Linked DNA regions of Saccharomyces cerevisiae S288C. The main gene of each other region encodes a partner of the protein of the gene in region 2 in a complex. Each region holds a gene or a part of one and is shown on either strand. Other genes may lie near its edges.

What was found.
Region 1: INA17 (region 2) and INA22 share a complex: the UniProt entries of both Saccharomyces cerevisiae proteins name them as parts of the inner membrane assembly (INA) complex.

What each region holds. Positions count from the first base shown.
Region 1 is NC_001141.2:401,230-417,332, forward strand, and holds INA22 (Ina22p), read right to left. Parts: upstream 2,263-16,103; coding exon 1,612-2,262; downstream 1-1,611. Other genes in the region: DAL81 (Dal81p), read left to right, coding at 1-1,460; MND2 (Mnd2p), read left to right, coding at 2,430-3,536; tyrosine protein phosphatase YVH1, read right to left, coding at 3,644-4,738; DAL1 (allantoinase), read right to left, coding at 5,031-6,413; DAL4 (allantoin permease), read left to right, coding at 7,239-9,146; DAL2 (allantoicase), read left to right, coding at 9,578-10,609; DCG1 (Dcg1p), read right to left, coding at 10,807-11,541; malate synthase DAL7, read right to left, coding at 11,786-13,450; DAL3 (ureidoglycolate hydrolase), read right to left, coding at 13,801-14,388; MGA2 (Mga2p), read left to right, coding at 14,895-16,103. UniProt on the Saccharomyces cerevisiae protein: Component of the INA complex (INAC) that promotes the biogenesis of mitochondrial F(1)F(0)-ATP synthase. INAC facilitates the assembly of the peripheral stalk and promotes the assembly of the catalytic F(1)-domain with the membrane-embedded F(0)-domain.
Region 2 is NC_001148.4:363,020-378,878, forward strand, and holds INA17 (Ina17p), read right to left. Parts: upstream 1,050-15,859; coding exon 501-1,049; downstream 1-500. Other genes in the region: ATG21 (Atg21p), read left to right, coding at 1-343; MGR2 (Mgr2p), read right to left, coding at 1,367-1,708; tyrosine--tRNA ligase MSY1, read left to right, coding at 1,933-3,411; ERI1 (Eri1p), read right to left, coding at 3,510-3,716; PNG1 (peptide-N4-(N-acetyl-beta-glucosaminyl)asparagine amidase), read left to right, coding at 3,908-4,999; EEB1 (medium-chain fatty acid ethyl ester synthase/esterase), read right to left, coding at 5,052-6,422; Sec63 complex subunit SEC62, read right to left, coding at 6,820-7,644; putative GTPase NOG1, read left to right, coding at 7,959-9,902; SSU1 (Ssu1p), read left to right, coding at 10,774-12,150; glutathione-disulfide reductase GLR1, read left to right, coding at 12,483-13,934; and 1 more. UniProt on the Saccharomyces cerevisiae protein: Component of the INA complex (INAC) that promotes the biogenesis of mitochondrial F(1)F(0)-ATP synthase. INAC facilitates the assembly of the peripheral stalk and promotes the assembly of the catalytic F(1)-domain with the membrane-embedded F(0)-domain.

The DNA.
Region 1 (16,103 bases), on a different chromosome or scaffold from region 2:
TCAAGCTATTAAACTTTGATGATTTTCCTCTGAATTCGCCCACTATTTTAAATTCCTTGCAAAATGACCAGTCGGGGTCTTCACCCTCGTCATCAAATGATGTGAAAAACCATCAGATAGCATTTGGTAACTTGCCCATATTTAACATAAACCCCACTTTAGAAGATTTCAAGAATGGAACGCTTATGTTTCAACAAATGGTTTCCTTGAGTATAATTCTTGGGGAAATCATGGACACATTTTACACTCAGGGATCCATGACAATAAACAAAAGCATTGAACAGGTATTGAAACTGGCAAAGCCGTTGCAACTGAAATTAAGAGAATGGTACCATTCCCTACCCAAGAATTTGTCAATGAGTTATGCCACGCCACAAAAATTGAACTCAAATTCAACTTTAACTCTAGCTTATTTTGCCACGGAAATTACGTTACATAGGAAAATTATCTGTGCCTTGAATCCTCAAACTCCAAAGGAACTGGTTCAAGTATGCAGGACTGCTGCAAGAACCAGGCTTGTAGCAGCAATTGAATTTATAAGAGATCTAAAAAACGAACATATTAATGCTTTTTGGTATAACTGCTCAACTGGAAATCTGATGCTAATTGGAACATTTGCTGCCCTGCTGTATGTGACTTCAGCTACGAAGGAAGAGGCTATGATTTTCAGAGATTATGTTAGAAATTATACCTGGGTATTGAAGATAGGTTCCAAATACTTTGATAAACTATCGAATGCTTTGAATAATATGCATTTACTATTTGCACAAATTCCTGGTCTTCTGACCGATGAACCGGTGGTCGTGAGCCCTAACTCTAACATCAATTCCGTTAACCCACAAAGGTCAGGTGTACAATCGCAAATCCCAATACAATTTAACGTGGGATCACCTGCCATGACCGAGCAAGGATCTCCTTTAAACCAGTGGAAGAATTTGCCCCAGGAAATCTTGCAACAACTAAACTCCTTTCCCAACGGTACGACCAGTACAACAACGCCAGTAAACCCCACTTCCAGACAAACACAACTAGAATCGCAGGGAAGTCCAGCCATAAATAGTGCTAATAATAATAGCAACAACACGCCTTTACCATTTGCGCCAAATAAGTCTTCTAAAAAAACTTCACAATCTTCACCAAATGTTACGCCCTCTCATATGAGCAGACACCCCCCCTCTAATACATCTTCACCAAGAGTCAATTCCAGCACAAATGTCAACTCTAATACACAAATGAATGCTTCTCCCTTGACCTCAATTAACGAAACCAGACAAGAGTCAGGTGACGCTGCAGATGAAAAAACAGCAGGAAGAGAAAGAACCGCCAACGAGGAATCATCAACGGAACTCAAGGACGATAATCCAAACTCGAACCAGGAAACAAGCGCAACTGGTAACCAAACTATAAAAATGAATGATGATAAAAATGTAACAATTAACACAAGGGAAACCCCTCTGTAATATAAATAATAGCACATAAGTAAAAATGGAATACGGTAATAACTATATAGAAATATCTTCTGCAGGACCAAGGTTACTGAGTGGTGAATGTAAAATTATTTATTCGCTTGCGTTATATTTACATGTGGTATATCCGGATGCATAGAGCCTACTATAGAAATTTTGGGATTTTATCATGTTCTTTGGCGATTTCATTCAAATCACCTGGTTGGTTCATCATCATATGGACATCACCACTTAGGTAAACCTTTTCATCTTCTTTTTTCGACTTTTCTAAATCTTTTAGAACATTCAAATCAGTGACAATCCCTTCTTTGTTCTTAACGCCAGCATCTGGAGTTTTTTCGATTACTTCTTTTTTTGCCTCGTCTATTATACTTTGCCAGATCTCTTCCAATGACTCTTCCTTAGGAACCACAATATCAGTCTCATCTTCCTTCATCCCAGTTGCGTTCTTGCCGACGATTCCTAAACGCAAATTCACAAGTTTCAATTCATCATCTGCGTCGAAGTCTACCTTTCCATTATTATCATGAACCCTCCGTATCAGCTCTTTCAATTTATCAAGTTTTAGCTTATATTTCCTTTCCATATCAATAATGTTCCTTTTCTCGGCTATTACTGCGTTTAATATCGACCCAAATATCATTACCAAAAGTAAAGGTTTGATCATTGTTTTATCAAATCTTGACTTTCTCTTAATGCCCGCATTTGCTGATGCAACAGTTCTAGCGGTTATCTTTATGGGAGCAAGGCTCCTTAAAAATAGACCATTTCTTAACACTTGTCTTGCCATAAACATTTTTCCTTACACCTTTTACGTATGACTTGTCTTTCCTTGTTGTTACTTTTTCCCTGCTCATTATATCACATAAGATGTAAATTAGAGGATGCGTAAAATAGTTCAACTGTGCTACGCCACATCAGAATACCGACAACCATAAACAGCGGCGAAGAGAAGACAAAGCAATGGCAAGAGCGTTGAGGGATATATCATTATTCAATGATATAAGAAAGGATCAAAATTCGGCAGGAGCCAAGCATGAGAGATATAACATGAGAGATCTCCGAAGTAAGAAGAACCAGCATGTAAATGGCATAGATGATTATGAAGATGATTCGCTTGACAGATTTATAAGAAGGAAGAAATCCAGAGTTGTGAAATACATTCCATCATTGTCAGCGTATAATGTGTTCAATGAATTTCCTTACTATCCTACGTCAGCCAGTCAGTTACTAGACGGCAAATTAGACGAATTTCTAATGCTGTCAGAACAATACAAAAGTAGATTACCCAAAATACGCAAGCTAGGATGGAATAGATTCAAACCAATAGGCATTAATAAAACTATGTACGAATTAGAAATGCTAAGGTCTCGAGCACGAGCTCAAAACGCGGAAGGGAACAATGAGGAAGACTTCAGGCAGCACGATTCTAGAGAAGAGGATCCAAGAAACAATGGCTCTATAGGACGCGTGATACTGCCTCATATTCTACAGGAAAATGAAGAATATGATACTGGTGAGGGTGTTACAGGATTGCATAGCATGCCAAATGACAGTATGGCCATACTTGCGAATAACAGTGCTAATAATTCGCAAAATGAGGAAGTATCAGAGGAGGATGAAATATCATACGATTATGATGCAGAGTTCGATCATGTTGTAGATGAGGATGATAATGAGGAGGGAGAAGTGCCGGGGGAAGGTGTGGAAGGTATAGAAGTTCAGAGAGAGAGAATTGTGCCGGATGACTTATTAATGAGACCCACTTCACTGTCACGCTCCCTACAACAGTTTGTGGAAGAGGCTCATCATTTAGATAGAAACCCATATGATATTGACAGTGATAACGACGGAGAAGATTCAAAGGTAGAACTGGACATGAATCCGGATTTTGAAGATGACGTGGGAAGAGAGCATGATTATAATAGCGAATACAGCCAAGAGCCGACTTCTTATGGTGGGATTACACCTGATCTAGCGAGTAATTGGAGGAATTGGACTAGGGAGAGGATAACTAGTTTAGATGAATTAATGGAGAGACGAGCCAGGCAGCAACGAGGTCAAGATTAGAAAAATGCTCTCCTCAGCACCAAAATTCATCTATCTATTAAGATGTATACATACACAAGTGCACCAAAAGTGCTTAGTGGTAGTTATATTTGCTGATTATATCTAAGTTATCTATTTACTTTCTCGGATTCAAAATTAACCATGTTGGGCAAAGCAGTGGATTGTAAGGGAAATTGATCCACTTTACTAGTTTGCAGGTGGATAGCGGGGATGACCCACTTACCACAACTGCACCTAGATCCTTTCCAGTTGTAACCGCCAACTTTACTTGAACAGCCTGGACATGAAAACTTCCCTTCTAACTCTTGCTTGCCTTGTAGTTCAGGTTGCATCCATTTTAAAGGTTCGATGAAAAAATGAGAGCAATTTGCTTGTGACTCTTGAATATCAATAATACGATGGGAGTTGGCGGCCCTCTTGATGAAGTGTCCCTCTGATGATTCCTTACTTGGTGGGTCATGCGCGATGAAAGATGTAGATAACGCCAATTTGGTTCTGCACTTCTTACATCTCACTGCGGTGACCTTGCTCTTCTCAGCTTCAGTTAATTTATCCAAGTCTTGCGACGACTCCGAATCTTTAAACATTCCAGAATTGGAGACCAATTCGCTGCCCGATGGATCTAACTTGATAGATTGCTTCAGCTTCCACTGCTTATAGGCTGGGTTGTCGAAATCGACAAAATCTCCACCCATTTTCTCAAAGAGATGTAATTGTTCCATGAAATTCTCGTTTGGCTCAACACTCGGTTTCTTCCTCTTGACAGCGTGCATAGCCATTGATAGTGACAATCCATAACGATACATTAGGTAGGCTACTATGAAGGTTACAGATCTCGAGAGTCCTGCTTGACAATGAGCAAAAACAGCACCACGTTGTGGTTTCTTCTTGAAATCTACTAATCTGGGCGAATACTCAACTTCATTGGGGAACAAGCATTGATCAATGAATCGGTTCGTTTCATCGAAGTATTGCAGCACATCAGTCACATCATCATCATCGATGGGTATGTTTTTTAGCGTGTAACCTTTCCTTATTAGATACTCTGGAATGACCTGGAATTTGATAACAGAAAGAATATGAGTAATGTTAAATTCTGCACCCAATGGTCTGTGGTCAATAATTGGACGGATTCCGCCAAGATATATGCCTCCTAATATCCTGGTAACTTCCTCGTCTACTGAGTTTGCATTTCCAGCCATCTTCCCTGTAATTTCTTGCTGCTTTTACTGCTTTCTCTGCGTTATACCTGTATTAGATGCATTCGATGAGCTGAGGTATAATTTTTTTTTTCAGTTAGATTTCTTTTTTTTAGCGCTAAGAAAATTTCAAAATTGCAGCCGTGGAGACCCAGATGGATATATTGTAGATCATTAAAAGTTGTGTCATCTCAAACTAAGAGTGGTTAATATATGTATGTGTGTAAATAACTTTTTATAAATTTGTTTCTTTTATTTCTATAGAATTTCTTTAATAAAAATTTGCAACTTTAGTTTAACGTCTAGAATCAAGCAAAGTTTGACCCAATGGTGTTTTCGAGACTCCGTTGGCATTCGTATATACCACCTGGCCTCTTAATATGGTTTTCAAAACTGTGCCCTTGACCGTCATCCCGTTGTAGGCAGTCAATTTGTTTTTGAAGTAGACACTTGAATTACTTATTTTATGTTTACTTGCAGTATCAAATACCACCAAATCAGCATCGTACCCGGGAGCTATAGTGCCTTTTTGGTGAGATAGTCCTACCTGATGGGATGTATTTTTACAGCACCATGTAACGATATCGACCAAAGAGCAGCCTTGGGTAAACATCAATGGCAAACCTAGTCCGACGGAAGCGATTCCTCCCCAAGAATCGAAAAAGTCACCTTTTTGCAAGTTCTTCAACTCAGGGGTGCATGGCGAATGGTCGCTCACTACTGAGCCTATAACACCTTCACGCAAAGCGTCCCATAGGCCTTGGCGATTAGACTCAGAGCGGATGGGTGGACAACATTTAAAGTAGGTGGCTCCGTCTGGGATCTGCTCTGCAGCAATACACAAATAGTGGAAACAAGTCTCTGTTGTGACTGGTAGCCCTGACGCACGTGCCTTTCTGATCAAGGGAATTGCTTTCATTGATGCCAGATGAACTATATGTACAGGAGGAACTGGTCCATTTCTGGCTCTCAAGCATTCGAGAATCAAATTGATGGCGTCTATTTCGAAAGAATCCGGCCTCGAGGACAAAAACGAAGAATATTCACGATGGCTTTGCTCGGGTTGCTGTTGGTCCTCATGTGCCTTGGGCAACTCAGCATGAAACATCATCATGGTATCCTCCTCGGCTAAGACCTTCAAGGCTTCTTCTATATATTCTTTGCCAATTGGAGGGAATTCTTCCACACCAGAATCAAGCAAGAATCCTTTGAACCCGCGAACGCCAGCTTTGACAAGCGGAATTAAGTCTGGCAAGTTGTGTGGTACCAGTCCACCCCAAAACCCAACATCGCACCACATTTGGCCCTCAGCAGCTTCCAATTTAATTCGGAAATTCTCCACATTTGTTGTGGGAGGAATAGCATTTAGCGGCATATCAACCACCGTTGTGACCCCGCCACTAATAGCAGCTTGAGTTCCAGTTTCGAATCCTTCCCAGCTAGTCCTACCGGGCTCGTTCAAGTGAACATGAGAGTCCACAAGTCCAGGCAGAATTGTACATGGAGATACGTTCTCCAGCGTATGTATTTCATATTTGGTTATCTCAGTTTTCTCCATAACCACGGAGCCTTCTAAAACATCCAGAATCGTGCCTGATTCGGTCGAATACACAATAGTCGCAGGTTTATTTGCACCATTGATAATGACATGGTCGGAAGTGATGGCATTGATAGGCATCTTTGTTCTTCGCAGTATTTCACTTTTTTTTTGCCTATACGTTTTTGCGAAATATACACTTTTCTAACCTAATTAAAGATAGCTAAAAGAAAAAGGGGTACCTTCAATTACAAGATACCAGTAGAAACTCATCACTTTTGCGTTACCTCATCATTGTCCCCTTCGATGAGATATGCCTCCTCTATATAGATAATTAAGCACCGCAATTTTGAACCACTTCTCCTGATAAAGTTCCATCAGTCCACCATCAACACATTTGCGCCTATTCGATGATCCGCAGTAAGGGACAATAGAATCGAAACATGCAGTTCCTTTCTTTCCTGCAATTCTCGGGTCTAATGTGGCTCGAGGGTATCTCTTATCGGTATTACTTTCTTATCAATGAAAAATTTCTGCCAGGGAAAATGCGCCCGCTTTTTTTCCGGCCATCCTTACTCGCTGTCGCATACAAAATAGCGCCTCTAATCTAGTTGCGATAAGGAATGTGTATGTGTAATTGAAGATCCAGGATGTTTTCCTTTTCAGGGAGATGAGAAGGAATAATAGGATGGATTGACCGCTTTGCTGTCACGTCGATAAGGTTCCTTTAAAAATTGTGTCCAATGATTAGCATAGAGAGGTAGAGTATCAGAGAAACAAGTTTGTAATCGAGAAACTTGATCTGCTAGTGTTGAGCATAGAAGGCTAGGAAAACATGGGGAAGAAAAAAAAAGTATAAATAATTAGCTTGATGAGTAGTTTGAATATATATGTTACTTTAGTTTCCCTTTTTGACCTTTTATATTCATCTACATCTTGTGATATAAAACATCAACAAAGACGAGAATGGCTAACGACGCTCTAAGTGCTATTTTCAGTAATCCTTCGAGGAAAGGTGTCCAACCCTCCACATCTATTGTGTCATATACAAACAATGAAGATGATATTATAGATGTGGAAAATGGGAAGTTCAACAAGAACAAGAATATCAACACTAATGTGTATGTGGACAACTCCTCAATAGAGGAGAGCGAAGTCGTGCCCTTGCCCGAAACAAAGTCCATCTGGAGTAAAATATACTACGATTTCATTGTGTTAGACAAGACAACTTTGAATGTTTCGTTGAAAGAGTCGTTCTTGTATAACAGAGACTTGAAACCGGTTGAAGAAGAAAGAAGGTGTTGGTCCTGGTTCAATTACTTATATTTCTGGCTGGCAGACTGTTTCAATATTAACACATGGCAAATAGCTGGTACAGGTCTACAACTAGGTCTGAATTGGTGGCAATGTTGGCTTACAGTTTGGATCGGCTACACTTTTGCAGGTATCTTCGTAGTATTGAACTCGAGATTTGGTTCCGCATATCACTTATCTTTCCCTATTACTGTTAGGGCCTCATTTGGTATATTCTTTTCTATGTGGCCGATTATAAATCGTGTCGTGATGGCTATAGTATGGTATGCCGTGCAAGCCTGGTTAGGTGCAACGCCCGTGGCACTGATGCTAAAATCTATTTTTGGCAAGAATCTGGAAGATAGAATCCCAAACCATTTTGGTTCTCCAAATAGCACTACTTTTGAATTCATGTGTTTCTTTATATTTTGGGTGGTCAGTATACCATTTGTCCTAGTGGCTCCTCATAAAATCAGGCATTTATTCACAGTAAAAGCAGCTTTGATCCCCTTCGCAGCCTTTGGATTTTTAATCTGGGCTTTGAAGAAATCGCACGGTAAAATTGAGTTGGGGACGCTGAATGATTATTCACCTCATGGTTCCGAATTTTCATGGATATTCGTTAGATCCCTAATGGCCTGTGTTGCTAACTTTGCCGCTTTGATTATCAACGCCCCTGACTTCGGTAGATTTGCCAAAAATCCTCAAGCGTCTTTGTGGCCACAATTGGTTGCCATCCCATTGTTCTTCGCCATAACATGTTTGATCGGTATCATTGTTACTGCGGCCGGTTATCACTTATATGGGGTTAACTATTGGTCACCACTGGATGTACTTGGTCAATTTTTGGAGACCACTTACACCAGAGGTACTAGGGCTGGTGTGTTCTTGATTTCTTTTGTATTTGCCTTAGCTCAACTGGGTACAAACATTTCTGCCAACTCTCTGGCATGTGGTGCTGATATGACGGCTTTGTTTCCAAGATATATTAATATTAGAAGAGGTTCTTTATTCTGTGTGGCAATGGCTCTATGTATCTGTCCATGGAACTTAATGGCCAGTTCAAGTAAGTTCACCAGCGCTTTGGGTGCTTATGCAATTTTCCTTTCCAGTATTGCTGGTGTCATTTGCGCGGATTATTTCGTAGTAAGAAGAGGATATGTGAAATTAACACATTTATTCCTGGCACAGAAGGGTTCCTTTTACATGTTTGGAAACAAATTTGGTGCCAATTGGAGGGCCTTTGTTGCGTATATTTGCGGTATCGCTCCAAATTTACCAGGTTTTATAGGTGATGTTGGAGCTCCAAAAATTACGGTTTCAGAGGGTGCAATGAGGTTATACTATTTAGGTTATCCGGTAGGTTTCTTTATTAGTGCGGTGATATACCTCATATTATGTTACTTTTTTCCTGTCCCTGGTACTCCCGTAACCAATTTTCTGACAGAGAAAGGATGGTTCCAAAGATGGGCTTATGTTGAGGACTTCGAGCAAGATTGGAAGAATGAGTTACGTAGGGATGACCTCTGCGATGACACAGTCAGTATCTATGATGGCACCGAGGAAAAGATAGTTTACTAAATAAAAATCCCAATTTATTCTCTTACCAGTAGTGATCAGGAGAATTGATAATTTCTTCAAAACACCTTAATATTCGTTCTGTGTATTTTTATGTACCTTTCTTAATCAAATTTATCAGCTTCATACATGCATTCCCGTCTGAATAATGTACTGATGATTAGCTAAACCGTCATCAACCTACCAAACTTGCGCTTGTTTGAGCCTATCAGAACTCCGGATAATTCCGACATCTTATCTTTGACTCGAATTAGCGATAAGATAAAAACACAGGAACCACAATGAAATTCAGCTGGAAGAAAAGTCTAAATTATAGACACATTTTCTGAGATCAAATGCTATAAAGGAATGGAAGTGCATTTTGCTATGATATGGGGAAATTATGAAGCCGATCAAACAATTAATTGTATCTAATCGGTCTCTTCTTTAGAAAAATGAAGTTTTTTAGTTTGGCAGATGAGGCAGAATTTAAGTCAATAATCATTTCAAAAAACAAAGCAGTAGATGTTATAGGATCTAAGTTAGGTGGTCAAGTGGTTTCTTTTTCAGATGAATGGTTTGCTTCTGCTGAAAATTTAATTCAGCCAACTGCTCCTATAAGGGATCCTACCAGATTTGTTCATTCAGGCGCATGGTACGACGGCTGGGAAACACGAAGACATAATGAGATGGAATACGATTGGGTTATCATCAAGATGGGAGTCGCTGCTGCCCATATTATTGGTGGTGAAATTGACACTGCGTTTTTCAATGGTAATCATGCACCATTTGTATCAATAGAGGCGCTCTATGACGAGGGCGAAGAAGGTAATATAGTGGAAGATGACTCGCGTTGGGTTGAGATTGTTGAGAAATTTGAGTGTGGTCCTTCGCAAAGGCATCTTTTCGTTAGAGGCAACGGCCTTACTAAAGAAAGGTTTACTCACATCAAGCTGAAGATGTACCCCGATGGAGGAATCGCCAGATTTAGATTATACGGAAGAGTTGTTCCTCCAGAACTCAAAACGAAGGATCATATAATTGACTTGGCTTATGTTTGCAATGGTGCTGTCGCTTTAAAGTATTCTGACCAACACTTCGGTTCAGTTGATAATTTGCTACTGCCAGGTCGAGGTCATGATATGTCGGACGGCTGGGAAACCAAAAGATCGAGACAACCAGGTCATACTGATTGGGCGGTAATTCAACTGGGCAGGGAGTCTTCTTTCATTGAGAAGATTATTGTTGATACGGCACACTTCAGGGGGAACTTCCCTCAGTTCATTACCGTGGAAGGTTGCTTGAAGGAGTCAGAATCAAGTGAGAACACTGGTGAAGGAACATGGGTAGAGCTAGTTGGTAAGTCAAAGACGGGGCCTGACAAAGAACATGTGTATGAAATACGTAAGAGTATAAGAGTCTCCCATGTCAAATTAACGATTATTCCAGATGGAGGAGTGAAAAGAATAAGAGTTTGGGGGTACTGATAAATACTTAACTACTGTATATTTTAAACCAATGCACTCTTGGCACTTTAAAAGTAAAGGTATAAATGTAGTTAAAAGTTTTTGTTTTGATAATTGAATGTTTTCATTTCGCTATCCCCACGCTACTTTATTTACTTCTTCTTCTTCACGACAAAACATTAAAATTTACACTCTATAAAAAACAATCATATTTCTATTTATTTTTGTGAGTTGACAAATCTTATCATAGTGATTAGAATCTGTAAACCGATCTCAATCGTGTCCAGAAACAGCGTGCCATCCCTTTGGAATGTTTTCGCCAGTTTATTTTGCAAACCCGAGAATCCTGCACAACCTAATATTACAATGTCTGAATCAAGCTTTTTAATATTTTCGCGATATATAATTTCTGCTATCTGCTGGAAATTTTCTGGACTATGTAGGTCGAGGACCTGTAAATCAGTAGATACCGTACCTTTCCATAAATTTTTGTTAACTGTATTCCCTGTCAAGAATTTCGATTCCACAGAGTTATTCAATATTGGAATCCATTCTTTATTTGAAGTAATAATAGAGAACTTCTTTCCAACCAAATTGCAATAATTAATACTACTATCTAATAACCCAACAATAGAAACATCTGCTTTTTCTTTAGCAGCTCTATCCTTTATCTTTGCTACCAAAGGATGATCTGAAAAACAGGCAATTAATATCCCGTTGAATTTCTGAAAGTAATATACCGACTCCTGGTCATCAATTAAGAGGGGAAGACAGGCCTCCATACTTTTAATACTTGTTTCCTGCCCATCAATTTGTGGTGGCGACGTGTCTGGCCCTGTGAAATAACTGATTTTACATGATTCCATTGAAAAAGTCTTTTCAATGGTTTCCCGCAAGGACACCGTCATTGACTTCGAACTATTAGGATTCACAACAAGTATTCTTGTTTCCATCGTTCGATAATTTGCTTAGCTAGTTTTTCTTTGTTCTTTTGATTTTCCTGAGGTAAGAATTAGTAATTCAGTTTCCTTACATATTCTCGCTTCAAAGGCTTAAATATGATCTGGCATGGAGAAAAAATATGAGTTCAATTTGTCATACCTTATCAGGCCTTATCAGCTCAAATTTGATTGGATTATGCGTTAAAACAGCGCCTAAAATTCTTCGAATATTCGTCAGGTTATGTACGTATACATTCTATAATTTACTTAAGTCAACTGGTTTGGCACTTGGCTTAATAATTTCATCATACAATAAAGTGGTCAAGAAGTCGCTAAAGATTTTACCAGTGACTTCAGGCAAAAAATACTTGGCTGCCAAGGCAAACTTGTTCTTTTCACCCAGCGGACTTGCTGAAGCCAATTTTGCAGTCTCTTCATTTAATATCTTAGCGGTCAATTCTGGAGTTACTTTGTCACCGGTATCACTTAAGACAACACCATGTTTAACCCACTGGTACAATTGACAACGTGATACTTCCGCAGTAGCGGCATCTTCCATCAAATGATTAATTGGGACACAACCAGATCCCCTTAACCAAGCCTCCATATATTGTAGGCCAATATCCAAGTTTACTCTGATTCCCTCAGTAGTGACTTGAGCATCTTGAATCTTCGTATTCAATAAATCAGATGATGTAACATGTACATCCGGGACAAAATATATTTGATTTGCTGTACCCATGTTACTGAAAACTTCATTACAAATCGGTGCCAATGCTGGGTGTGCTACCCATGACCCATCATGCCCATTCTTCATTTCTCTAATTTTGTCATTACGAACTTTGTTCATTGCAGCTTCATTAGCCTTTGGATCATCTTTTATGGGGATTTGGGCAGCCATACCACCCATCGCATGGACCCCTCTACGGTGACATGTATTGATCAATCTTTTCACATAAGCATCCATAAAAGGTGAAGTCATAGTCACTAGATCCCTATTTGGCAAAACGTGTTCAGGCAAGTTTCTCAGTTTTTTAATGGTCGAAAATATGTAGTCCCAACGACCACAGTTCAAACCGCTTGAATGTTCTCTTATTTGATAGATAATCTCCTCCATTTGGAAGGCCGCTGGCAAAGTTTCAATCAGAACAGTGGCCCTAATGGTACCGCGGGGCATTCCAATAAAATCTTGTGCAACACAGAATATGTCATTCCATAGTTTTACCTCCATATGGTGCTCCATCTTTGGTAAGTAAAAATAAGGTCCTTTACCAATTTTAACTAACTCTTTAGCGTTATGGTAAAAATATAAACCAAAATCGAAGATGGAAGCACTAATCGGTTCATCATCTATGTAAAGGTGCTTCTCCACCATGTGCCAGCCACGAGGTCTGACAATTAAAGTGGGCAGTCTTGAAATGTCATCCTTCAACCTGTACTCCTTTCTTGGTGTCTTGAAATCGATTTGATTTCTAATGGCATCATAAAGATTAACTTGTCCGTAAATCATGTTCTCCCAAGTTGGAGATGAAGAGTCCTCGAAATCAGTCATATATGTCGTTACTTCAGCATTCAAAGCGTTGACTAACATATTTCTCAATGGTGGCCCAGTAATCTCGCTGGATCTGTTGATCAAACCAGGGGCTGGGATAGCACCTTGCCATGTAGGATCGTTCCTGATTTGTTCGGTTTCCGGCAAGAAATCAAATCGGTATTCACCAGAGTCTAACTTTGATTGTAAATTGCTTCTGTTGGCTAAAAGCTGTTTCCGTGTTGAATTGAAAGTTCTATGCAGCAAAACAATGAACTCTAAGGCATCTTTTGTTAAAATATCAGCTACAGTAGTTTTGGAAGGTTCAAATTGAGGAGTCGTGTCGATGTCTGCGTATAGAGCAGTGTTGTCCAAGCTTATCTTCACCATTGTTCAGTGCTCTTTACCGTGCCTATGACACATACTCTAAGTGATATCAACTGCACAGAAAGTGAAGAATTAAGACTACATGCGTAAATGTCCCCATTTTATACTTATTGCTTCACCAATTGACGAAACTATCCAATCTTTGTGATACTTTCACGATGTACCTTATCCAAGATAAGCCAAAACTTATGAAATTCAATTTATGTGATAAGAAAAGCAAACGCAATTTTCCAAAATCCGCGGTATTCTATCGCACCGCAACTTTCAGCGGAGATTTTATGTCGATAATCGTAAACCTATGAAATTACTAATACATGAACATTTACATATTTACTTCGCCCACAGTCGCAGAATTAGATGATAATACAAACGTCGCCATCGCTGTAGTGTTCTTCCACACAGTCCTTCTCGGGCCTGTCAGGGTCCAGACTTTCGTAGATTAAGACTGAAAAATCCAAATGTTCTTCCTTGCCAAGTACTATCATGGGCGCATGCCAGGTACCTAAGCCATAGGTAACGGCCTGATTACCCAAACATGTAAAAGCCCTCAACGTAGACAAGTCTGGCTTATTTCCAATTTCTTTAGCGACTACTACCAAGTATGCTACTTCCGCTGACGTTCTCCCCATAGGCACAAACGTCTGCGTACTACACGGATGCTTTTCGAGGACTTTGATAGAATGAGAAATCGCCTGATTGGAGCCTTGAGTGAATACTCTATTCAGGTGCGGCTGTGGAAAGCAACGGAATAGGTTCCAATTGGGAACTTTACTGGTAGATTTATTCTCTACCTGGCTTACTTGAAGCAATTTGATCGCTGTTCCCTGGTTTGCACCTTTTTCAAGGTTTTGCATCCTTGAAATCTCTTCATCTGGCGAAATTATCGTCCCATACTCCTCGAAGGACTCTTTCGTCAATGTCTCCGCCACCACGGTCACCATATCTTTGCTTCAAAGATTTTTTGCCCTACAAGATAAGCATCAAGAGCGATTGGATGACAGTTACTGACTTATATATGCGAATGCACATGAATAGACCGCATATGCTTCTTATCAGTCTTACCTCGCTTATCTTTCCCCATTTATTTGCCAATCCATCTTATCTTATCTGGCACTTTGTCTCAGGGTTAGTGTTACAAAAAGGCTAGGACTTATTTCCAAAATTCTACTTTTGAAAATAACCCTAACAATAAAAGCAAGGGCATTCTGATGTTACCCTAGAAATGTCGTATTTCTTTTTATATCGTGGATCATGACAAAAAACTCAACATTTTCAAATGGGTGAGCTCTAAACCAGAAAATACAGCCGCCGAAAGCCTTTTAAAAGGACAGCGGCGCTTGATCAACAGTCGTTCTTGGGGTCGTTAAGACTAGATCCTGCTTCCCCCCCTTATTGTGCATTTAAAGGCACTTATTGAAGGTCATTTTGGCGAACAGAACATTTCGTTATGCAGCAGAACAGTGAGTTCTTAACGGAAACACCTGGAAGCGACCCTCATATATCTCAATTGCACGCGAATAGCGTAATGGAATCACAGCTCTTGGACGATTTCCTCCTGAACGGGTCTCCCATGTACCAGGATGATAGCATGGCGCATATTAATATTGATGAGGGTGCTAATTTCCAAAATTTTATCAAGACAGATGAGGGTGATTCGCCCAACCTGTTGTCTTTCGAAGGTATCGGTAACAATACTCATGTCAACCAAAACGTGTCCACTCCACTGGAGGAGGAAATGGAAAGTAACAGAGCCTTGAAGGAGGAAGAAGAGGACGAGCATGAAAATAAGGTTTTTAATGAAAAAAATATAGGCAACCCTGCTCATGACGAGATTGTATTTGGAAGAAAGGAGACGATTCAATCTGTTTACATAAATCCTTTAGATTACCTTAAAGTGAACGCAGCGCAGCTACCTTTGGATGTAGAGGTCTCAGGTTTGCCACAAGTATCTAGAGTGGAAAATCAACTGAAACTGAAAGTGAAAATTACGTCTGAAACACCACTAAACCAAAGCATGCTTTACTTGCCTAGCGATTCCATTTCAAGAGAAAAGTTTTATTTAAAAAAAAATATCGAGGATTTTTCAGAAGACTTCAAGAAAAATCTTCTGTACATCAATGCGTTTGTTCTATGTGCGGTCAGCAACAGAACGACAAATGTTTGTACCAAGTGTGTTAAGCGAGAACAAAGAAGAGCCGCTAGAAGGAAATCAGGTATTGCAGACAATTTACTCTGGTGTAATAATATTAATAGAAGGTTAGTCGTGTTCAATAACAAACAGGTTTTCCCCATAATGAAAACTTTCGATAATGTTAAGGAGTTTGAATTAACTACCAGGCTAGTTTGTTATTGCAGGCACCATAAGGCAAATAATGGCTTTGTCATATTATTCACTATAACAGATTGGCAAAATAGACTGTTGGGTAAGTTTACGACAACACCTATTATGATCACGGATAGAAAACCAGCAAATATGGATACCACCAAGTTTAATAACACTACTACCTCGTCCAGAAGGCAGCTAACGGAAGAAGAATCTACCACAGAATATTATTCAACGGATAACAACCAATTGAGCAAAGACGAAAATATGCCATTTCAATATACTTATCAACACAACCCATATGATAATGACAGTCAAATGAATAATATTCCA
Region 2 (15,859 bases):
CCTCCCTGGAGATAATTCTAGCAATGGCCACTGGAATGAAGAGGAATATATACTAGCATCAAATTCAAATCCCAGTATGGGAACTCCAAAGGAAATACCTCTCTCGAAACCAAGAATTGCGAATTACTTCTCGAAAAAAATAAAATCTTCAATACCAAACCAGAACCTGAGCCGTAACTTTGCTTATATAACAGTTAATGAATCGAACAGGAGTTGCTTAGGGTTTCCAGACGAATTTCCCAACCAAGTCTATATTGCCTCTGATGATGGAACCTTCAGTATATATAGTATTCCGTCAAAACCTGGTGAATGTGTGCTGACTAAAAATAATAAATTTACATAATGCATATGTGCAGTTTTCATAATCTTAATAGATATTGTACGTATTCACGTGTGAATTGCTAAAGAGGGTAGAAATCTTCAAAACAAGCAATTTGAAAATATTTACATAGGCAATGGTACATTCTAGAAACACGAAAAGCCAACAAGATAACTAATTCTCACCAAAACCATCTCCTATACCAAGGCTTCATATGTGTTGATTCATTACTGCCCTTTCCCCTACTAGTATTGTGGGTTTTATCCTGTACAATTAACTCATTTAATTGGTGTTCCAGGATTTCTACCTCTTTCTTTAGCTGACTTTCTCTCTCCTCATGCTCTAGTTTCCACCAAGAGAAGTGAAGCAGTAAATAAACGGAAGATCCCATTAGAATGAACATCCAAAGAGGCCTAATAAATCTTTTTACAGGGATCTCATGTCCTGATTCTTCCTCTTGCGAGAATTTTTTGAGCATATCTAACTCCTTTTTGATATTTAATTTTGTAGTATGCTCATTAATCAAATCGCGTATCAGTTCAGTATCAACACCATCCAAAGAATCCAAATTAGCCAAGTCTTCTAGGCTCTTGATTTCTTTCTTCGGTGACGTTGAAACAGCTCTTCGTTGTTGGTTGAGGAGGCGCCTGTGGTAATAGGCAACGGTTGTTATGGGAAACAATTTAGTTCTACTCAAAGTAATGAGAGCATTAGAGCGTCTTTTTAACATATTGTCTATTATATGCTTTGGTTCCCATTTCCTTTCTCAAAGTTTACAAATATAACAGAGTGCTTAGCGAATACTTTATTTTATGAGTCTTGCCGTTAGTGACCCCACCCAAAATAAGATGCAAACCGGTATACATATTAGACATTTCCCACGTATACAAATATATTAAGTAAATAAGCCTCGTCGTGATGAACTTAAATACATGGTATTGAGAGAGTTATAAACAGGTAGATAGATATCTTAAATAAAAATAAGCAGATAAGTAACAATGTTTAAGAAAACGATGGGGAAGCGTAAATATATGCAAAATTTCCCCCTCAGTCCTTACGTATACCGTATTTGGCACGAAGCTTCCACATTTCCAGTCTTGCCTGTTGCTGTAGGTTCAGGTTAGGATGGGACATTGGACTACTTTCACTATCACTTCTGATTATAGACCCGATGGACATAAATAGCCCAAAGGTACCCGCTGAACCAGCAATGTATTTCCCTAGTGTTCTAACTACACCATCAGGACCTGGGCCTTGAGTTGCGATGGCAAATCCACCAAATAGGATGCCTGTGCAGACACCGACGGTAGTACCCATCATCAACCCCATTTTGAATTTGTCCCAATTCGAAGGCTGCTGTTGCGCATAATTTTGTGGAAGAGGAGGCATTATATCTTAATATTGGACTTGAAGCTGTTGCGCTATTTGTGCTATATGATCTTGTGTGGTGTTCTGTGCTTCCTTCTTATGGAAAAGTAGTGGAGTCTGTTTGGTAATGTTGGTCTTGTTCGGGAGTTTTGAAAAGAAAATAAAAAGTGGTTGGCTCATAATGTTAAGAAAGAATTTCCAGTTTCCGATTGAACACAGCAATCTACAGGTAGACATTGTGAATCATGCTCGAATTACGAAGTTGTAGTAATTTGGTCAATAGTAGTAGGAGACTTGTGCCTCTGGTGACTTATTCCGGACTAAGTGCAATAACATTGCCTAAATCTCGATTTTATTCACAGCCTAGTGCTTTAGAAGTACAGGGCACATCGGATTCTCGAAGCGATAATATTTTAGACGAACTCAAACAAAGGGGTCTAGTGTCCCAGGTCTCACAGCCAGAGAGTTTCCTTCGGACGAAGTTGAACGGTAACGATAAGATCAAATTATACTGCGGGGTGGATCCCACAGCTCAGTCACTTCATTTGGGAAATCTAGTTCCACTAATGGTTTTATTACACTTTTACGTAAAAGGTCACGACATTGTCACTGTGATAGGTGGAGCTACAGGGAAAGTTGGGGACCCAAGTGGTAGGAAAACAGAAAGAGACGTTATGGAGAACGATATTAGGCAAAGCAATGTGGCATCCATCTCGCAGCAATTACAAAGGTTTTTCAAAAATGGCCTAGAATATTACAGAAACCGATGTGCTCTCACTGAAGATGTACCTTCCGGAAAATATACACCAAGGAATAATTTCAACTGGTGGAAAGACATCAAAATGTTGGATTTCTTAGCTGATTTTGGTAGGCACATTCGGGTACAATCTATGTTGGCGAGGGATTCAATTTCTTCGAGGCTTCAAACCAAAAATGGTCTGGGATTTAACGAATTTACTTACCAAGTTTTACAAGCGTACGATTTTTACCATTTGTATAAGGAAGAGAATGTGACTATACAAGTAGGTGGTAACGACCAATGGGGAAATATAACAGCCGGTATCGATCTCATCAATAGGATACAGCCTATAAAGAATAAGGGTTTGCCATTTGGTATCACTGTGCCCTTGTTGACGACGGCTACAGGAGAGAAATTTGGGAAAAGTGCAGGCAATGCTGTTTTTATTGACCCCTCAATCAATACGGCGTATGATGTTTACCAGTTCTTTTATAATACTTTGGATGCTGATGTACCCAAGTTCTTGAAGATCTTTACGTTTTTAAACTCAAGTGAAATCAAAAAAATTGTGGAAACGCATATCAAATCACCCAGTCTACGTTATGGCCAAACTTTATTGGCTAAAGAAGTCACAGATATGTTATATGGAGTTGGCTCCGGATCGGATTCAGAAGCGCTTTCTAATATTATTTTTGGACGTTATGACGGAACTTTATCTGCTGCGAAGTTAGTTGATCTATGTAAAAAAGCCAGAATTTTGCAGTATGCTGATAGAGAGATTGACTTAATAAAGTTAATTTGTAAACTAGTAAATTGTTCAGTATCAGAAGCCAGAAGAAAACTTTCCCAGGGAAGCGTGTATCTGCATCATTCAAAATCTAAAGTAAACGAAAATATTTCTAACTTGGCTCCTTTCCTGATAGATGATCGAGTACTGATCTTGAGGATAGGAAAGCAGAAGTGTTTTATAATAGAAATGCGTTAAAAAAAAGGGAGGTATATAAAGTACATGTATAAAATAGGCATGCGTGAGGTGATATTATATCATTTTATGCACTGACTTGTAAATAAGATTATAAACGATTATTCATCTTTACTACTTGCGAACATTTCACTGTCACACCAGGCTATGAGGGCCCACAGCCAGAGAGTCGCAGGGCATAGCAGTAATACACACCAGTAGTGCAGGAAAGAGTCATTGTTGCGTAACCAGTAAAATGTAGCAAGACTAATTAGGAGTACCGAGTAAGTAAACCCTAAAACCAAAAAGCCTTGGTCACGTGGTCTCATGCGCTTATAAATTCTCAATCATGTAATTGAAACAGTCCTGTTGCCTAGTTTCAACTGTTCTATGCTTCTTGATGTTTTCGAAACTTTGCGTAGTGTAATCTTCCTTGTATTGTAGCGAAGAAAAAAGGATGCGTTGGGAACAGATATAGAAGACGTAAAACAACCTGAAGAAGGTAACAGGTGGAGTAGCAATGGGAGAGGTATACGAAAAAAATAACATAGATTTTGATTCAATAGCCAAAATGTTGTTAATTAAGTATAAGGATTTCATACTGTCTAAATTCAAGAAAGCTGCACCTGTAGAGAATATAAGGTTTCAGAATTTAGTCCATACAAATCAATTCGCACAAGGAGTCCTAGGTCAGAGTCAACATCTCTGTACAGTCTATGACAATCCTTCATGGCATTCTATAGTCCTGGAGACATTGGATCTGGATCTAATATATAAAAATGTTGATAAGGAATTTGCCAAAGATGGGCATGCAGAGGGGGAAAATATATACACGGATTATCTAGTAAAGGAGCTGCTTCGCTACTTCAAACAAGATTTTTTCAAATGGTGCAATAAACCAGATTGTAATCATTGTGGCCAGAACACTTCAGAAAATATGACACCTCTGGGCAGTCAAGGGCCCAATGGAGAGGAATCTAAATTCAATTGCGGAACTGTTGAGATCTATAAATGCAACCGATGCGGAAATATCACTAGATTTCCTCGTTATAACGATCCAATTAAGTTGCTGGAAACTAGAAAGGGAAGATGCGGTGAATGGTGCAATTTATTTACTTTGATTTTGAAGTCGTTTGGGTTAGATGTTCGCTACGTCTGGAATAGAGAAGATCATGTTTGGTGTGAATATTTTTCAAATTTTTTGAATAGGTGGGTTCATGTCGACTCCTGTGAGCAATCATTCGACCAACCATATATCTATTCAATTAACTGGAACAAGAAAATGAGTTACTGTATTGCGTTCGGTAAAGATGGCGTTGTTGACGTTAGTAAACGCTATATCCTCCAAAACGAGCTGCCCAGAGATCAAATCAAGGAAGAAGATTTAAAATTCCTTTGTCAATTTATAACGAAGAGGTTGAGGTATTCGTTAAATGATGACGAGATATACCAACTTGCATGTCGCGATGAGCAGGAACAGATAGAGCTGATTAGAGGAAAGACACAAGAAACGAAATCCGAAAGCGTCAGTGCCGCTTCGAAATCATCTAATCGTGGTAGAGAAAGTGGATCGGCGGATTGGAAAGCACAGCGTGGGGAGGATGGTAAATAGAGAAATAAAAGAACAGATTATTATGTGTAAGGAATTTTATCTAAGAACATATTTATAAAACTAACTCATCAAAGCTGCCCAAGAACTCGGCAGCTTGCTTTGTTAACCAGGAATTACTTTCATTGTCGAGATAAGCCAAATGTCCACCCAAGTCAGTCTCGCATAACAACACACAAGGATTTTCTCTAGCTTGTTTGTACGGAATTACGTTTTCACCTGTAACTGGATCATCCGTTGCGTTGATTATTAAAGTTGGGATTTTGATATTAGGCAATCTATTTATCGAACTGGCCTTTCTATAATATGTTAACCCGTCCGGCAGGCCCATCGATGGGGCAGTGAAAAGATTATCGAATTCTAATATGTCTGTAAATTTTTCAGCCTTTTCCAAATTTTCTCTGGTATACGTATAAAAGACTGGTTTCTCAACTGTCGGTTTGTGCGAAACCTCAAAATTCTCTGGTACCTGCAACTCATTCATATTAACCTTGACAGTCCTTGTTAGAAATTGTGTTAAAGTTCTAGAAAAAATATGGTTGGACCACCAATCATGAGCCAACTTGTCCCAAGTGTGTACGAAATCCCATGGGTTTGAGAGAGCGACTGCAGCATTTAATGGACAGTTATCTCCTTCTTCACCTAAGTAGTTCGTTAGCATGGCTGCTCCAAATGATGTTCCGACTGCATATATTTTTCTTTGCGGAAATAGAGCTTTTTGGTGGTTCAAAAATTCTCTCACATCACCTGTGTGTAATGCGGTAAAGATTCTACGGGTGGTGACTTTAGATCTTGAGCAACCTCTAGCATTAAGGACTACCACTTGGAATTTACCGTCACCGACTTTTGATAGATCTTCAGATAATGCCCTGATGAGAGGCTCATGGCTTCCCCCTGCAAGACCATGAAGTACTACCACTAAAGGGTAAGAATAACCCTTAGAATGACATTTTTCAAGTTCCTCAGAGGATAGATATCTAGTTCTCGGGTGAAGACGAGGCCAACCCTTTGGATGGGTGGCCTTTTCATCGTTCGAAAATTGTTTCTCGTTAAAACTAGCCTTTTCAGCATTTAATGAATATGTTTGCTCCCATTCAGGCATAACCCAATCTGCAGTGCAGACCCCTCCATCAGAAAATTTTATAATCTCTCTTCCATAAAATACCTGAAATTTTTTGGAAAAATCACCGGCTGACAAATAAAGGGTCTGTAAGTAACCTGTGAAAAGCAAGCTGTTTAACCTAAAATTTGCACCATCTTTGAGTGTAGGCACGTGTTTGGTTACGAATTCATGAAGAGGAATTTGGCGCTTAGAATCTCTGAAAGCCAAAGACTTGGTTCCTTTCTCTCCCAGTACATGTTTGACGGTGCCGTTATAGCCCCAATGGCTAGGAGTGACAGTTGGATAGTAACCCGAGCGAAACATTAAAATGACAAATATGAAAATACTTGATATCTTGATCTTTTTGCTAATCTTCAAAAATACCGAAAACTAAGTAGGCAACCAGATGCAGAACCCTTCTTATATAATCGATTCCTGTAAGCAAGTGTCAGCAAATAGCTTCTATATAGAGACCTTTCGGTGAAAGTATATTAAAGCCGGCCGGAAATTGAGTAATAATAACCGCTAATTATGCGGTGTGTGGATTCAGATTTTTGCCAGGAGCGATAACCTTCAAATCTAAAACTACTCACTATAAGCGATGAAGCAACCAGATGGTAGCGCTTTGGTGCCGGTTCTCTTGAAGGTTTGTACATGTGCGAGTTCATGAGGTTACAATATAGAAGGTTTATACAGTAGAGCTATACAGGATAATGGAAGTTCAGTTTTGTTCGGCTTTTTCATTGATGGCTTTCTTCTTATTGCTTTCTCTCTTGGCTTGTTTCTTCTTCATTCTTTTCAGTTTCTTTTTGTAACTATAAGTATCCTTCTCACCAAAACCGTAAAGTGGCTTAAAACTCTCTAGTACACCGCAATCTTCGAACAGGTTGGGAAAGATCCAGAACCCACCAACATCTTTGTAGACAATTAATGACAAAACATATAATATCAATCTCAGGATAGCGACAGCAAAGAAGCCTGCTAAGATGCCGAAGGCACCCAGAGACACATAATAGGAGCCGCGTCTCATGGAGCGCGGCCACAATGGGTAGCATACGAGCGCCAATATGATGGACACGACACCAATGACGATCAAGTAATCCATGTAGGTTCTAGGGTTATAGTTCCAAACAAAGTATTCATCGGCTTCCAATTGTGCTTTATTCGAAACAATCAAGTGCGGAAAGTCCTTGCTTGGCTTCAATCCATGCTCTTTGCATTCTTGACTATGCAATTTTTTCACTGGGATCACCATTTGTGCCTTTATAAGTTGAATAAAGATTTCACGTGACTTAAGCTGGTCTTCGATCTTGTTAGAAGGTATAGTTGGATATATCTCTGGCTGTCTTGCAGATTTGTTGGCATACTCCTCAGAATGCAGTGCCCTAACAAATCTCTTGTAACGGAAGAAGTCTGTCTGCTTGGCCTGGAATAAACCCTGCCTTTGCTTCAACTCCTTATGGTTGCGTAAAAGAGTAGCAATGGCTGTAGCAGATCCGCCATTGACACTAGCACCTGCATTGCTACCTGGACCTACGGCTGACATGTTCTCCTGTGTTTGCTCGGCTACCATACTGCATTCAACTGCAATTATAAAAGCCCACTCTTCTCCCTCTTGATTTGTATGCCAGTATTGGGAAAACGACACGTCTATTCCGTCGCACACGATCTTCACTTTCTTTTTTTTTTTCAACTGAACGAAAAGTTTTTTCCGCAGCTCATCGCAAAGAAAAATTTTCACCTATGTACTACCTCATCTAATACAATATAAAGAATACACTTCAGATTTAGGAGTTGCAGCGTTTATAAAAAAGTAAGTGTACCCTCCAAAAGCAAACACATCTCCCTCCTATACCGAAGATGCAACTTTCATGGAAGGATATCCCTACTGTCGCTCCAGCAAATGATTTGCTGGATATTGTCTTGAACAGAACCCAGAGAAAGACACCAACTGTGATCAGACCTGGTTTCAAGATTACAAGAATCAGAGCGTTCTATATGCGTAAAGTTAAATACACAGGTGAAGGTTTCGTGGAAAAATTTGAGGACATTTTAAAGGGTTTTCCTAACATCAATGACGTGCATCCTTTCCATAGAGATTTGATGGACACCCTATACGAAAAGAATCATTACAAGATATCTTTGGCAGCTATATCTCGTGCGAAGTCCCTTGTGGAACAAGTCGCCAGAGATTATGTCAGATTGCTAAAATTCGGTCAATCTTTATTTCAATGTAAACAATTGAAAAGGGCCGCTTTAGGTAGAATGGCAACTATAGTCAAGAAATTGAGGGACCCATTGGCCTATTTGGAACAAGTCAGACAGCACATTGGTAGATTACCATCGATCGACCCAAATACCAGAACCTTGCTGATCTGTGGTTATCCAAATGTCGGTAAGTCCTCGTTTTTGAGATGCATTACCAAATCAGACGTCGATGTTCAACCATATGCTTTCACAACCAAGAGTTTATACGTTGGTCATTTTGACTACAAATACTTGAGATTTCAAGCTATTGACACCCCTGGTATCCTAGATAGACCCACTGAAGAAATGAACAACATTGAAATGCAATCGATTTATGCCATTGCCCATTTACGTTCTTGTGTTTTGTACTTCATGGATCTTTCCGAACAATGTGGTTTCACCATCGAAGCTCAAGTTAAACTATTCCACTCCATCAAGCCTCTATTCGCCAACAAGTCTGTCATGGTTGTTATCAACAAAACCGACATTATCAGACCGGAGGATTTAGACGAAGAGCGTGCACAATTACTGGAATCTGTTAAGGAGGTTCCAGGTGTTGAAATCATGACTTCTTCATGCCAACTGGAAGAAAACGTTATGGAAGTTAGAAACAAAGCATGTGAAAAACTATTGGCTTCTAGAATTGAGAATAAGTTGAAATCTCAGTCTAGAATCAACAATGTTCTGAACAAGATTCATGTTGCTCAACCTCAAGCAAGAGATGATGTCAAGAGAACACCATTTATCCCAGAATCTGTCAAGAATTTGAAGAAATACGACCCTGAAGATCCAAACAGGAGAAAGTTGGCCAGAGACATCGAAGCTGAAAATGGTGGTGCTGGTGTCTTCAATGTTAACTTGAAGGACAAGTACCTATTAGAAGATGATGAGTGGAAGAATGACATCATGCCAGAAATCTTGGATGGTAAGAATGTTTATGATTTCTTGGACCCTGAAATCGCTGCTAAACTGCAGGCTCTTGAAGAAGAAGAAGAAAAATTGGAGAACGAAGGGTTCTACAATTCTGACGATGAGGAAGAAATCTACGACGGTTTCGAAGCATCCGAAGTAGATGATATCAAGGAGAAAGCTGCATGGATTAGAAATAGACAAAAGACGATGATTGCTGAAGCAAGAAATAGGAAGTCCTTGAAGAACAAAGCTATCATGCCACGTTCTAAACTAACTAAGTCCTTTGGTAAAATGGAAGAACACATGTCCACTTTGGGCCATGACATGTCAGCCTTACAAGATAAACAGAACCGTGCTGCTCGTAAGAACCGTTATGTTGAAAGAGGTTCTGATGTTGTTTTTGGCGACCAAGATGCTTTGACAGCTTCCACTGAAAACGGTGTCAAGTTGAGACAAACCGATAGACTGTTGGATGGTGTTGCTGATGGCTCCATGAGATCCAAGGCCGACAGGATGGCCAAGATGGAAAGAAGAGAAAGAAATAGACATGCCAAGCAAGGTGAATCTGATAGACACAATGCTGTTTCCTTATCAAAGCATTTATTCAGTGGTAAGCGTGGTGTCGGTAAGACAGATTTCCGTTGATTTCTCTACTTCTTATTCTTTCTTTTGCATGTACTTTAAAAAAAATATGAATATAAAATGTGGATGTACGTACACGACATTCTAATCTTTTTGGGCTGGTAGGATTACCATTTACATTTGATTATCTCTCTCACTATTAGTGGTTTCTTTTTCTTTCTTTCTCACTTTTTCTGTATCTTTTTTTTAAAAAAATTTTATTTAATCTGTATAATAATAATAAACCGATTTAAATTATCCAACAAGCCGACCCCTCCATGTTCTACTATTTTTTTGTATGTCACTGGATGTATACAAATAATTAAGCATGTGGAAAAAGAAGGGGTGGGATAGCGTCAAGATGACACTTCTACTTTTTTGTGACACATCATCATGCAACCTATCGAGTCTCCCACGAGGTTGACAAATAAGAAATTGTTATCGTTTTTGCAGTGTATCGTATAAGGCAACAATAGCGATGTCTCCCATCAATTGACTGATAAATTCCTGCAAACTATCATTTTTTTTTTTTCATCCTTGTGCCGCGTCTGTAGCCGAAAATCTGAGAGTGCATGAATCTTAAAAAACAGAAGACTCATCGCCGTCTTTGGCACATTGGGGTTGTCTTTGACTTCTTTTGCTTATTTTTGCTCACTTTGCTTATTTTACCTATTTAACTAGAGGTTCTAAAAGAATAGCCAACCAGCGTGTAGTTCTTATTTCTAATCCTTGTCTTGTTAAGTTGAAACTTGTGATATTGGCTGAACAAATTCTCCGCATTTAGACAACACACAAATTACAGCTTTCCCCTAGTAACGATTGTTGATTGAGCTCAGACAATACGCGCAATTTAAAAACGTTTTATAGTGTAAGAGAAGACAAGTACAAGAAAAAAATGGTTGCCAATTGGGTACTTGCTCTTACGAGGCAGTTTGACCCCTTCATGTTTATGATGGTCATGGGTGTCGGCATTTCATCGAATATTCTATATAGCTTCCCATATCCTGCAAGGTGGCTAAGAATATGCTCCTACATCATGTTTGCTATCGCTTGCCTTATTTTCATTGCTGTGCAGGCACTACAAATATTACATTTGATTGTCTATATTAAGGAGAAAAGCTTCAGAGAATATTTTAATGACTTTTTCAGAAATATGAAGCACAATTTATTTTGGGGTACTTATCCCATGGGGTTAGTTACAATTATAAATTTCTTAGGAGCACTCTCGAAAGCGAACACGACGAAGAGCCCCACTAATGCCAGAAATTTGATGATATTTGTTTACGTCTTGTGGTGGTATGATCTCGCAGTCTGTCTAGTAATAGCGTGGGGTATCTCGTTTCTCATCTGGCATGACTATTACCCTTTGGAAGGGATTGGGAATTATCCTTCATATAATATCAAAATGGCATCCGAAAACATGAAAAGTGTATTGCTACTGGATATCATTCCGCTGGTTGTCGTCGCTTCAAGTTGTGGAACATTCACAATGTCAGAAATATTCTTCCATGCGTTTAATAGAAACATTCAACTGATAACGTTGGTCATATGTGCCTTAACGTGGCTGCATGCCATTATCTTCGTCTTCATACTGATTGCGATATACTTCTGGAGTCTTTATATTAATAAGATACCACCAATGACACAGGTTTTCACCTTATTCCTGCTTTTGGGCCCGATGGGCCAAGGAAGTTTTGGAGTCTTATTGCTTACAGATAATATAAAAAAATATGCGGGCAAATATTACCCAACAGATAACATTACAAGAGAACAAGAGATATTGACTATTGCAGTTCCATGGTGTTTCAAAATTCTAGGCATGGTTTCTGCTATGGCATTGCTCGCTATGGGCTATTTTTTCACCGTGATTTCTGTCGTTTCAATCCTGTCGTACTACAATAAAAAAGAGATTGAAAACGAGACAGGAAAAGTGAAGAGAGTTTATACCTTCCACAAAGGTTTTTGGGGGATGACTTTCCCGATGGGTACTATGTCTTTAGGAAACGAAGAGTTATATGTGCAGTATAACCAGTACGTTCCCTTATATGCATTTAGAGTCCTAGGAACCATATACGGCGGTGTTTGCGTTTGTTGGTCAATTCTATGCCTTTTATGCACATTGCATGAGTATTCTAAAAAGATGCTGCATGCTGCCCGTAAATCTTCATTATTTTCAGAGTCAGGTACGGAAAAGACGACAGTTTCTCCGTATAACAGCATTGAAAGCGTGGAAGAATCAAACTCGGCTCTAGATTTTACGCGTTTAGCATAAAATTGTTGGTTTTATACGTACATAATTGGCAAGCATTTCATGTAGGAGTCTCAATAGATAGTTTAATTCATTTGCACGGCGCTTTGCTGCTTTTGCTTCTTCACGTTGGTTTTCACTATGCCTGATATTTTTTGACGTCACTTAGTAAGCACGACCCTTGTCAATTTTTCGAGGATTTCGGAGCTTTCCATTTGGAATCTACTATTAAAATCAGTCTAAAAAAGTATAAGAAACACTTCTGGTTTTTCTCATGCGCTTCTCACTCTCAGTATATTTTGCTGCTTTCCTTCATATGTATATATATCTATTTACATATTAGTTTACAGAACTTTATGCTTTCTGCAACCAAACAAACATTTAGAAGTCTACAGATAAGAACTATGTCCACGAACACCAAGCATTACGATTACCTCGTCATCGGGGGTGGCTCAGGGGGTGTTGCTTCCGCAAGAAGAGCTGCATCTTATGGTGCGAAGACATTACTAGTTGAAGCTAAGGCTCTTGGTGGTACCTGTGTTAACGTGGGTTGTGTTCCGAAGAAAGTCATGTGGTATGCTTCTGACCTCGCTACTAGAGTATCCCATGCAAATGAATATGGATTATATCAGAATCTTCCATTAGATAAAGAGCATTTGACTTTTAATTGGCCAGAATTTAAGCAGAAAAGGGATGCTTATGTCCATAGGTTGAACGGTATATACCAGAAGAATTTAGAAAAAGAAAAAGTGGATGTTGTATTTGGATGGGCTAGATTCAATAAGGACGGTAATGTTGAAGTTCAGAAAAGGGATAATACTACTGAAGTTTACTCCGCTAACCATATTTTAGTTGCGACCGGTGGAAAGGCTATTTTCCCCGAAAACATTCCAGGTTTCGAATTAGGTACTGATTCTGATGGGTTCTTTAGATTGGAAGAACAACCTAAGAAAGTTGTTGTTGTTGGCGCTGGTTATATTGGTATTGAGCTAGCAGGTGTGTTCCATGGGCTGGGATCCGAAACGCACTTGGTAATTAGAGGTGAAACTGTCTTGAGAAAATTTGATGAATGCATCCAGAACACTATTACTGACCATTACGTAAAGGAAGGCATCAACGTTCATAAACTATCCAAAATTGTTAAGGTGGAGAAAAATGTAGAAACTGACAAACTGAAAATACATATGAATGACTCAAAGTCCATCGATGACGTTGACGAATTAATTTGGACAATTGGACGTAAATCCCATCTAGGTATGGGTTCAGAAAATGTAGGTATAAAGCTGAACTCTCATGACCAAATAATTGCTGATGAATATCAGAACACCAATGTTCCAAACATTTATTCTCTAGGTGACGTTGTTGGAAAAGTTGAATTGACACCTGTCGCTATTGCAGCGGGCAGAAAGCTGTCTAATAGACTGTTTGGTCCAGAGAAATTCCGTAATGACAAACTAGATTACGAGAACGTCCCCAGCGTAATTTTCTCACATCCTGAAGCCGGTTCCATTGGTATTTCTGAGAAGGAAGCCATTGAAAAGTACGGTAAGGAGAATATAAAGGTCTACAATTCCAAATTTACCGCCATGTACTATGCTATGTTGAGTGAGAAATCACCCACAAGATATAAAATTGTTTGTGCGGGACCAAATGAAAAGGTTGTCGGTCTGCACATTGTTGGTGATTCCTCTGCAGAAATCTTGCAAGGGTTCGGTGTTGCTATAAAGATGGGTGCCACTAAGGCTGATTTCGATAATTGTGTTGCTATTCATCCGACTAGCGCAGAAGAATTGGTTACTATGAGATGAAGCAACGAAACTAGACGTCCAATCTGCTGTTGCTATACTGGACTTTTGTACTCTTGTAAACAATCTTATATAGCATCCTGAAATACGTAGTAATTTTGTCATTTCTGTTCAAGGACAAGGGTTCCTTTTTTTTTCAGACTATTAGCTACTGTGGACTCGCTTGGATATTCAGTTGAGGATACATTCCGACTCTCGTTTACAATACATATGATTATTTTTCTTTTTGTTAATTATATAAAAAATAAAGTTATTTGATTTTAAGCTTAAAAATACACAAAATACAGAATAAGAAAGGAGTTTTTGAACAAAAGAATTTATCTTTTACTGCTTTCTAACTTTAAGCCTTCAAAGAAGAAGCTCTTCTCTTTCTGATTTCAGCCTTCTCAGCCTTTCTTTCAGACAATCTCTTAGCCAACAATTGAGCGTATTCGGCAGCAGCTTCTCTTTGAGCTTGAGCGTTTCTGACCTTCAAAGCTCTTTGGTGTCTCTTTCTTTGCAATCTTTGAGGAGTAACCAATCTTTGGATCTTTGGAGCCTTGGTGTAAGTCTTTTCACCCTTGGTGACTTCTCTTCTGATGACGAAATCACGAACGTCATCTTCCTTGGACAAACCGAAGAACTTTCTGATGTTGTTAGCTCTCTTTGGACCCAATCTCTTTGGAACAGTAGTGTCAGTTAGACCTTCCAATTCTTGCTCACCCTTCTTGACAATGACCAAAGCCAAGACAGCCAAATCTGGACCAACAATGGCACCTCTGACGGACTTTCTCTTTCTTTCACCATCACGTCTTGGTCTGTAACAAGAAACGTTCTTGGTCAACAACAACTTGATTCTAGTTGGCAACAAAACACCTTGCTTCATTGGGAAACCTTGTTTGTCGTTACCACCAGAGATCTTGAAGACGTAACCCTTGAATTCGTCACCAACGGCTTCACCATCGACTTCTTGACCGATTCTCTTGTCGAAGAAAACACGAATACGGTGTTCATCATCAATTTCGAAGGTCTTTTGAGACCCGTTAACTGGGTAAGAAATGTTCAACTATTTTAAATTTTCAACAGGTTATTAAGAAAATTTGTTAGTATACTATTGCAAAATTAATGTTTGAATAGGGTGAAGTTTATTACTCTAGAGAAATTATTAAGTGGAAGATGAAAAAGCTTGTCTTTTATTGACTATACTCCAAGTATATGAACTGCTTCAATTTCACGGTTTGTAGTAACAGTATATGTAAACCCGCTCTGTTTGTTTAAAAATAACGCCACAAACGCATCAATTAGTATATGGTAGTCTTCCTGCTTCTTTCCATAAAAAATTTCTAAAATCTTTACGACGTCTGGTTCTGTTTAGTTCTTTCTCACTTTCAAACTTTCATGCCATTTTTCCACATATAAAGTTCTCTGTTGCCCCTCAATAATAGTATCATAAATCATACCTTCATGATGTATAGTCTGTCTTCACTCTTTTGTCACTTCTCTTAAGCAAATATAAAAATTCAATGACGAATAAGCATTAACCACTTTATCCTTGGTAACACTGTATATGAAATTTCAAAGAAACTGCAGCATCATGATGTTCCTAGACGTCGGTACTGGAATTCCCACCCAGTAGACTTACCTAGGTAGCGGCATTCCTCCAACGCTTACCAGGAGAGATAACTTTCCCGCTAGAATCGATAGAGGAGCGTGGAATTACGCCAATCTTCCAAGTGGGAACGGGCAGAGTGTCCAGTGGCTTCCTGCCTACAGAATGCACGGCCCCAGTGGGATTGGTGCAATCGCGCACGTTCCAACTTTCCGATGCTCCGGCGCGTCGATGACAATTTTACACATGAAAAACGAACTATGTAAAAATAGTTGAAATGTATGGGTTCAATGAGAACTCGAATGTACGGATGTTTTCTCTGAATGAACCTCTTGTCTTC